2 linked regions of the Callithrix jacchus genome follow. Each later gene encodes a partner of the first gene's protein in a complex. Links are inferred from orthologs where the notes say so. Each region holds a gene or a part of one and is shown in the gene's direction. Other genes may lie near its edges. The genes, in order: TLR4 and LY96.

Evidence for each region.
Region 2: the proteins of TLR4 (region 1) and LY96 are in contact, whole or in part, in a crystal structure (PDB 4G8A), measured with the Homo sapiens proteins. The link is inferred for Callithrix jacchus from reciprocal best matches to the Homo sapiens genes TLR4 and LY96. Residues at the interface, in NP_612564.1 of Homo sapiens: Gln39, Met41, Glu42, Asp60, Ser62, Phe63, Asp84, Ser86, Arg87, Thr110, Gly111, Val132, Val134, Glu135, Asn156, His159, Ser183, Ser184, Asp209, Leu212, Arg234, Val259, Glu262, Phe263, Arg264, Asn265, Glu266, Arg289, Ala291, Tyr292; in NP_056179.4 of Homo sapiens: Met40, Tyr42, Ile66, Pro67, Arg68, Arg96, Ser98, Asp99, Asp100, Asp101, Tyr102, Ser103, Phe104, Arg106, Leu108, Lys109, Gly110, Glu111, Thr112, Thr115, Thr116, Ile117.

Annotation. Positions count from the first base shown.
Region 1 is NC_133502.1:166,093,894-166,098,417, forward strand, and holds the end of TLR4 (toll-like receptor 4), read left to right. Parts: coding exon 1-831; 3' UTR 832-3,995; downstream 3,996-4,524.
Region 2 is NC_133517.1:52,224,710-52,229,078, reverse strand, and holds the start of LY96 (lymphocyte antigen 96), read left to right. Parts: upstream 1-1,433; 5' UTR 1,434-1,519; coding exon 1,520-1,631; intron 1,632-4,369. UniProt on the Homo sapiens protein: Binds bacterial lipopolysaccharide (LPS). Cooperates with TLR4 in the innate immune response to bacterial lipopolysaccharide (LPS), and with TLR2 in the response to cell wall components from Gram-positive and Gram-negative bacteria.

The DNA of each region.
Region 1 (4,524 bases):
GGGACTTCCAAAAATCAGGAACTACAGCGTTTTCCAAGTAGTCTAGCTTTCCTAAATCTTACTCAAAATGACTTTGCTTGTACTTGTGAACACCAGAGTTTCCTGCAGTGGATCAAGGACCAGAGGCGGCTCTTGGTGAAAGTTGAACAAATGGAATGTGCATCTCCTTTAAATAGGAAGGGCATACCTGTGCTGAGTTTGAATATCACCTGTCAGATGAGTAAGACCATCATTGGTGTGTCAGTGCTCAGTGTGTTTGTGGTATCTGTTGTAGCACTTTTGGTCTATAAGTTCTATTTTCACCTGATGCTTCTTGCTGGCTGCATAAAGTATGGTAGAGGTGAAAACACCTATGATGCCTTTGTTATCTACTCAAGCCAGGATGAGGACTGGGTAAGGAATGAACTAGTAAAGAATTTAGAAGAAGGGGTGCCTCCCTTTCATCTCTGCCTTCACTACAGAGACTTTATTCCTGGTGTGGCCATTGCTGCCAACATCATCCATGAAGGTTTCCATAAAAGCCGAAAGGTGATTGTTGTGGTATCCCAGCACTTCATCCAGAGCCGCTGGTGTATCTTTGAATATGAGATTGCTCAGACCTGGCAGTTTCTGAGCAGTCGTGCTGGTATCATCTTCATTGTCCTGCAGAAGGTGGAGAAGTCCCTGCTCAGGCAGCAGGTGGAGCTGTACCGCCTTCTCAGCAGGAACACTTACCTGGAATGGGAGGACAGTGTCCTGGGGAGGCACATCTTCTGGAGACGACTCAGAAAAGCCCTGCTAAATGGTAGACCGTGGAGTCCAGAAGGAGCAGTGGGTGCAGGATGCAATTAGCAAGAAGCAATAACTATCTGAAGAGGGAAAAAACAAAAACCAACTTCTGAGGCATTTCTTGCCCAGCTGGGCCCAACACTTGTTAAGTTAACAAGTATTAAATGCTGTCTCATGCCAGGCATTATGCTAAGGCCAAGTAATTCCATGGTTCACAAGATACATGGGGATGCTAATCTCATGGTGCCTCCAGTGCAGAGGGAATAAATGCTACACTAAAATACAGAGCGTTCCAGGTGGGCATTTCAACCAAGTCAGCCAAGGAACCCATGACAGAGAAAGTCATTTCAACTCTTACCTCATCAAGTTGAATAAGGACAGAGAAAGCAGAAAGAGGCATTGTTCTTCTCCTGAGTCTTTTGAATGGAAATTACATTATATATTATGTCATAGCCGTCATAAAACCATTTTGGTAGTTTTGACTGAACTGGGTGTTCACTTTTTCCTTTTCCATTGAATTTAAACTCTACTTGATGACTCATTGGGCTGGTGATGCAAGATGCACCTTCCATTTTAAATCAGTTTCCTTACAGAGGTTAAAGCTTAGTGGCTAATTCCTAAGGAGACCTGATTAACACATGCTCACAATCATCCTCATCATTCTTGAGACTGCTCTGTTTTTCAACTAATAACCCCTAATATATTTTTATTTTTATATGTCCAGTTCTTATTTTTTTTAAGGTAACTTCATATTTTTATTTGTCTCTAAGAGCATGATTTCCAGCCACAGTTTATTATTACAAGTCAAAATCTGAAGATTATTAATAGCATAACTTCCAAATACAATTTTAATTTAAAGGAACATTGTATGTTCTGCATATGTACACCAAAACCTAAAATGCAATAAAAATAAATAAATAAATTAATTAATTTTAAAAACTACACTTAATATACCCCACTTAAACACACAATATATTCCAGTTCTTATTTTTTAATGTCTTTAAGCCAATATCATAAATAAGGTTGTTCAGGATGTGCTTTAAATATCCATATTTATTTAACCACCATTTTTTAAGGAAGTATATAAAGTACACTCTGTCACTTTGTCACTCAATATCATTTCAAAGTTATTGTCTCCTAAGTTATGACTGTCATGAAAGCAGTGTTGAAATAATTTCTATAAGGGGGTACTTTTTTTAAACAGGGAAAGAAAATGTCCACTTTCTGGTCATATCATGGACAATTTGGGCAAGAAAGGAAGTGGGGTGACCTCAGGAGGTCACCTGTTCTTGATTCCAGAAACGTATGGGCTTATACACTTGGGGTGACCCCATAAAATGAGTTGCAGCAGAAATTTTTTTTTTCAGAAAAATTGATGTTTAATGGACCTCTGAATCTCTTCAGGGAGATATGGAGGGCTGGGATCCCTCCCCTGCACCCTCCCCACTGCCAGGGGAACTACTTGAGAAGGGATTCAATGCAGGTAGTACATACATTTCTGCTTCCTGTTGGGCACTGCTCCCTGACCACATTTTGGGAAGAGTGGATGCTATCATTGAGAAAACAATGTGTCTGAGATTAATGGGGTTCATTCATATAAAGGGAGTTCCCAGAAAAAAATGTTCATCCAGCCTCCCCAGAAACAGAATATTCAAGAAAAGGACAATGAGGACATCATCAGGAAAATGAAAATAAAAACCGCAATGAGATATCACCTTATACCAGGTAGAATGGCTGCTATAAAAATAAAGGGTCATCAAGGATATAGAGAAATTGGAACCCTTCTACATTGTTGGAGGGAATGTAAAATGGTGTACCCATTATGAAAAACACTATGGAGGTTTCTAAAAAATTAAAAATAAAACTACTCTGTGATCCAGCAACCTCACTTCTGTGTATATACCCAAAATAATTGAAATCAAAATTTCAAGGAAATATTTACCTTCCCATGTTCATTGCAGCACTTTTCACAATCACTGTTTCCAAAGTTATGGAAACAACCCAAATATCCATTGAAAAATAAATGGACAAAGAAAATGTGCACATACATATAATGGGATCTTATTCAGCCTACAAAAAAGAGGGAATCCTGCCATTTATGACATCATGGATAAACCTGGAGGTCATTATGCTATGTAAAGTAAGCAAGTAACAGAAAGACAAATACTGCCTGATTTCACTTGTATGAGATACTAAAATAGTCAAACCCAAAGAAGCAGTGAATAGAACAGTGGTTCCTGGGGAAAAGGAGCAAGGGAGAAATGAAGAAATAGGGAGTTGTCTAATTGGTATAAAATTACAGTATGCAAGATGAATTAGCCCTGAAGATCAGCTGTATAGCAGAGTTCCTATAATGCATAATACTGTATTATGCACTTAAAATTTTTCTAAGAGGATAGATCGCATGAAGTATATTTACCATATGTACTTTTGGTAATATATGGTATATATTACCATATATTTGGTATATATTTCCATTACACAAGGAAACTTTTGGAGGTGATGGATATATTTATCACCTTGATTATGGTGATGGTTTCACAGGTATATGACTATGTCTAAACTCATCAAATTGAATATATTAAATATATGAAGTTTTGTAATATCAACTATATCTGAATGAAACTATAAAAAAGGAAAGACAACAAAACTCAGTTGTCAAAACTGCAACTATGAGAACACTCAGAAGTGTGATTTTTTACTGAGTGTGTCAGACTGTGTTTTGTTTGAGCATGTCTAGGGTGGTTGAACATCCCTGGATGTGTTTCTATGTCTCATGTACTAGTGAAAGAGAATGTATGCATTTGAACAACATATACCTTTGAACAACATATACCAGTGTGTCCCTATCAGGGTTGTGTGTATTTGAAAGTATGTGTGTCTGTATGATCATATCTGTATAGAGGAGAGTGTGATTATACCTTTTGAAGAATAGATGCATTTCAAGTAGATGTCTAAGGCTGTTTAAGATGGGTTCCCTACTCTTGTGGTGCTTGTACAGTAGTCTCACCTTATTCCTTATCCTTGGTGGATATGTTCTTAGACTTCAAGTGGATCTTTGAGATCCCAGATGGTACCAAACCCCATATATGCAGTAGTTTTTCCTATACACAAATACCTAAGGTAAAGTTCATTTTATGAATTAGGCACAGTAAGAGATTAACAACAACTAATGATAAATTGAATAATTGTAATAACGTTTTATAATAAATGTTACACGAATGTGATCTCTTTCTCTCTCGCTGTCTCTCTCAAAACGTCTTATTGAACTGTACTCACCTACTTTCAGACCATGACTGACCATGAGTAACTGAAACCTGGGAAAGTGAAACTGTGGATAACGAAGGAACTAACATACATACATACATCATTGTTTGTCTATAGATGTATGCATCAATTTCTTAGTATGCTTGAAAATGTGTGATTTTGTGTATATCTGTGCTACTTTTAAGTGCAGTTCTATTCATATTTGAATATGAATTATGTATATGTGTGTTTATTCAAGCAAATATACAGGGCTTTGAGAAGGAAGATCAACATACAACTTGGAGTATTTCCTACATACAAAGCTGACATTGGCCTACTTCCTGTCAGTTCCTTCTCCTCGATGGAAATTCTAGAAATGGCAGGTGAAGTGGACAAGAAGGGAAGTAAATTATATGCATAGAACAGAAGGAGAAGAAAGAGTAAAGTCGTGTCTCAGATAGCCTCTTTGTAGCCCTTTAAACCCTCTGGGTTTAAGAGGGATGAAGGGTG
Region 2 (4,369 bases), on another chromosome or scaffold:
AATTTTTGTATATTTAGTAGAGACAGAGTTTCACCACATTGGCCAGTCTGGTCTTGAACTCCTGACTTCAAGTGATCCACCTGCCTTGGTCTCCCAAAATGCTGGAATTACAGGTATAAGCCACTGTGCCTGGCTGATAATTTGTTTTATAAAGCAGGAGTCCCCATTCCCTGGGGGTCATGGATCAGTACCTGTTAGGAATCTGACTGTGGTGTGTTAGGAACCAAGCTGCACAGCAGATGGTGAGCAGCAGGTGAGCAAGCATTACCACCTGAGCTCCAGTTCCTGTCAGATCAGCAGAGGCATTAGATTCCCATGGGAGCAGGAACCTTATTATGAAGTCTGCATGTGGGGGATCTAGGTTGCATGCTCCTTATGAGAATCTAATGCCTGATGATCTAAGGTGGAACAGTTTCACCCCGAAACCATTCCTCTGCATCTCCTCAGTCTGCGGAAAAATTGTCTTCTATGAAACTGGTCTCTGAGACCAAAATTGTTGGACCCTGCTGGTATACAGAGCTGTGGGAGAGAAGAGCAATGCAGAGGGAAAAGGAGCGCCTGTCTGTTGAGACTTTCAGGGGGACCTACGGACTGGTTTTGTTACTGTTGACTGAGAAGTGTCTTGTTTATTATTATTTTTTTAATTTAATTTTTTTTTTTTTTTTTGAGATGGAGTTTCACTGTTGTTACCCAGACTGGAGTGCAATGGCATGATCTCAGCTCACCACAACCTCCGCCTTCTGGGTTCAAGCAATTCTCCTGCCTCAGCCTCCCGAGTAGCTGGGACTACAGGTGTGCACCACCGTGCCCAGCTAATTTTTGTATTTTTAGTAGAGTCGGGGTTTTACCTTGTTGACCAGGATGGTCTCGATCTCTTCATCTTGTGATCCAACCACCTCAGCCTCCCAAAGTGCTGGGATTATAGGCATGAGCCACTGCGCCTGGCCAATTTAAAACATTTTTTAAGAAATGGAGTCTTGCTCTGTCGCCCAGGCTGGAGTGCAGTGGTGCCATCTTGGCTCAGTGCAACCTCCGCCTGTCAGGTTCACGTGATTTTCTTGCCTCAGCCTCCTGAGTAGCTGGGAATACAGGTGTGCGCCACCACACCTGGCTAATTTTTGTATTTTTAGTAGAGATGGAATTTCACCAGGTTAGCCAGGATGGTCTTGAACTCCTGACCTCAAGTGATCCATCTACCTCAGCCTCCCAAAATGCTGAGATTACAGGTGTGTGCCACCGCGTCTGGCCAAAGTGTCTTGTTTTCTTTTTAAAACTTTGATCACTCTCATTTACATTAAACTTTGGAAAAGAGTACATTCTGAATAGTTTTACTCTCTTACCTTGCAGAAAGTGCTCAAATGTTAAACACACACACACACACACAAAGAGGAAACAGTTGGACAGGAACTCAGAAATCACGTGACTGATGACTAAGTTAAATCTTTTCTGCTTACTGAAAAGGAAGAGTCTGATGATTACTGATCCTCTTGTATTTGTAAAGTTTTGAAGACCCTGAATCATGCTGCCATTTATAATTTTTTCCACCCTATTTTCTTCCATGTTTACTGAAGCTCAGAAGCAGCACTGGATCTGCAACTCCTCCGATGCAAGTATTTCATACACCTACTGTGGTAAGTAAAACATCAACAACAAATAATTGTAGCATCAACTATGTTGCGGCTACGTTTTCACAAGATCTTTACACTGTTGTGGCTGGAACACAGGAAATGCCAGTGTGTTCCAGCTGCTGTGGGCAGACGCTGCCAGCAGGAAAAGCAATCACTGGCAGCTGCCCCGTGAGAATCTTCTCGACACCTCCCAGAGCTCGCTGTGGTTGACCTTCAAATGCTTCTGTTGTTCCCTGCGTCATCTATCTCTATGCTGAGCCCAGTTTTGGGTTCTGCCCAGTTTCAGTAGAACCGTCTGCTTCTAAGCTTTCGCCTCAGCCTCAATCCGTACTAGTTCTTCCTGAGATGGTAGAGCAATCCCAGCTGCTTCCTGGAGTTGATTTCTGCTTCAAGTTGTGACTTTTGAGGGCTCTTAGAATCATCTCCCTAACGATGTAAGCCTGGTTCTGTCCTTAGCTGTGTGGCCTTAAGCAAAGTACTCCAGCTGTTTTAGCTCTAAAGCGAAAGTGATTTTGAGTCTACTTGATCAGGGTGTTGTGAGGTGAAGTTTTTTAGCATAGGGTCAACATGGAGTCAATACTACTAATTTCTTTTTTTTGAGTAAGCCATACCCTAATGCTATTCACTGGTTCTATGACTGTCTCCTGCCCCAGCTGCTCATTAGCAAACGTCCTCTGGTCTGAAGGCACAGTGTCAGGCCTGACAGCTGTTTTGGTTTGGTACTTTCCACTGCGCTGCCCTTTTCCACCCACTAGCAATATCTGGAAGGTTTAAAGTGATGCTTCCCAAAATACCAGTTCTTTGAGATTCTTTTGGGAAAATAGGATCTATGACCTAGTCATCCGTGAGAGATTTACAGATGTACTTTGAGTTCTGAGTTCTGCAATAAAGGCACTTGTTTAACCACAACATATTCAATTCCATTTGTTTTTTGTTTGTTTTTTAGTCTGGATTGTATGCTAACTGTCTTGAAATCATGCTCTAGCCAATGCTGATGTAAAGGGACTTTCGGGGAATTAGGATAATTATCACATATAAGGAGGAGACTTAGGAGTGCGGCCAGTCACACACCGTGGCCCTTCTCCTCCTGGTGGCTTGCACTGAATTCCCTCTCAATGTATCTCTAAAATCTCTCCATGCTACAAGATCTGTTTGCATTCCCCTCTTAGAGCAAGGCTCCTACTCTACACGGCCCCTACTTTCCTCTCCCTCTTTGGCCCTTTTGTACCATGTGTGGATTATGCCACTCTTTTTTTTTTTTTTTTGAGATGGAGTCTCACCCTGTCACTCAGGCTGGAGTGCAGTGGCGTGATCTCCGCTCACTGCAACCTCTGCCTCCAGGGTTCAAGTAATTCTCCTGACTCAGCCTTCTGAGAAGGTGGGACTACAGATATGTGCCACCGTGCCTGGCTAATTTTTGTACTTTCAGTTGAGTCAGCATTTCACCATGTTGGCCAGGCTGGCTCGAACTCCTGACCTTGTGATCTGCCCACCTCAGCCTCCCAAAGTGCTGGGATTATAGGCGTGACCCACTGTGCCTGGCTGGATTATGCCATTCTTTATATGGTCGTTATGGCTATAACATTTTGTATTATTATTTAGCTTTTAATCTTTCTTAACAATAACAATTTGTCTTTTTAAAAAATTTCACATTTTATCTTATTTATTATTGAGACAGGGTTTTGCTGTGTCATGCAGGCTGGAGCAAGTGGCTTGATCTCCACTCACTGCAACCTCCATCTCCCTGGCTCAAGCCATCCTCCCAGCTCAACCTTCCAAGTAGCTAAGGCTACAGGCACGTGCCACCACCCTTGGCTAATTATTAATTATTATTATTATTGTTACTTTTGAGTTTCACTCTTGTTGCCCAGGCTAGAGTGCAATGGCGCGATCTTGGCTCATCTCAACAACCACCTCCTTGGTTCAAGTGATTCTCTTGCCTCAGCTTCCCGAGTAGCTGAGATCATAGGTGCCTGCCACCACGTCTGGCTAATTTTTGTGTTTTTAGTAGAGATGGGGTTTTGCCATGTTGGCCAGGCTGGCCTCAAACTCCTGACCTTAGGTGATCTGCCTACCTTGGCCTCCCAAAGTGCTGGGATTACAGATGTGAGCCACTGCACCTGGCCTAAGATTTCACATTTTAATCATTTTTGAGTGTTTGACTCAATTGTATTAAGTATATTCAGATTGCTGTGAAACCACAACCACTGGTGTGTCTTTTGATTTAACTTTCTAATTTTTTTTTTTTTGAGACAGAGTCTCACTCTGTCAACTAGGCCGGAATGCAGTGGTATGATCTCAGCTCACTGCAACCTCTGCCTCCTGGGTTCAAGCAGTTCTCATGCCTCAACCTCCTGAATAGCTGGGATTACAGGCGTGCGCCACCATGCACGGCTAATTTGATTTGACTTACTGAAGGAAGAGCTTACCTCTTCCTCTCTGAGAAATCCTATCCTGCTACCCACTGACAAAAAGACTGTGGCAAGCCACTGGGGTACACATCTACAGCAAGATGCTGCTTGCTGCCATCCCCACTGCCATGTGACTGTCTTCTTGGCCTGAGAGAAACCATCCTGCACGGCCGAAAATGCATTACCTGTGGGAAGCACTGACTTTTCTAGGTACTATTGTGAAGGTGTTGGTGACAACAACCTCTAATTCACTGTAAGGATGATTTCCATGAAAAAGAATAGATAAATTTCCATTTGGCCAAGCTGCTGGGCACATAAGTGTATTTTTTT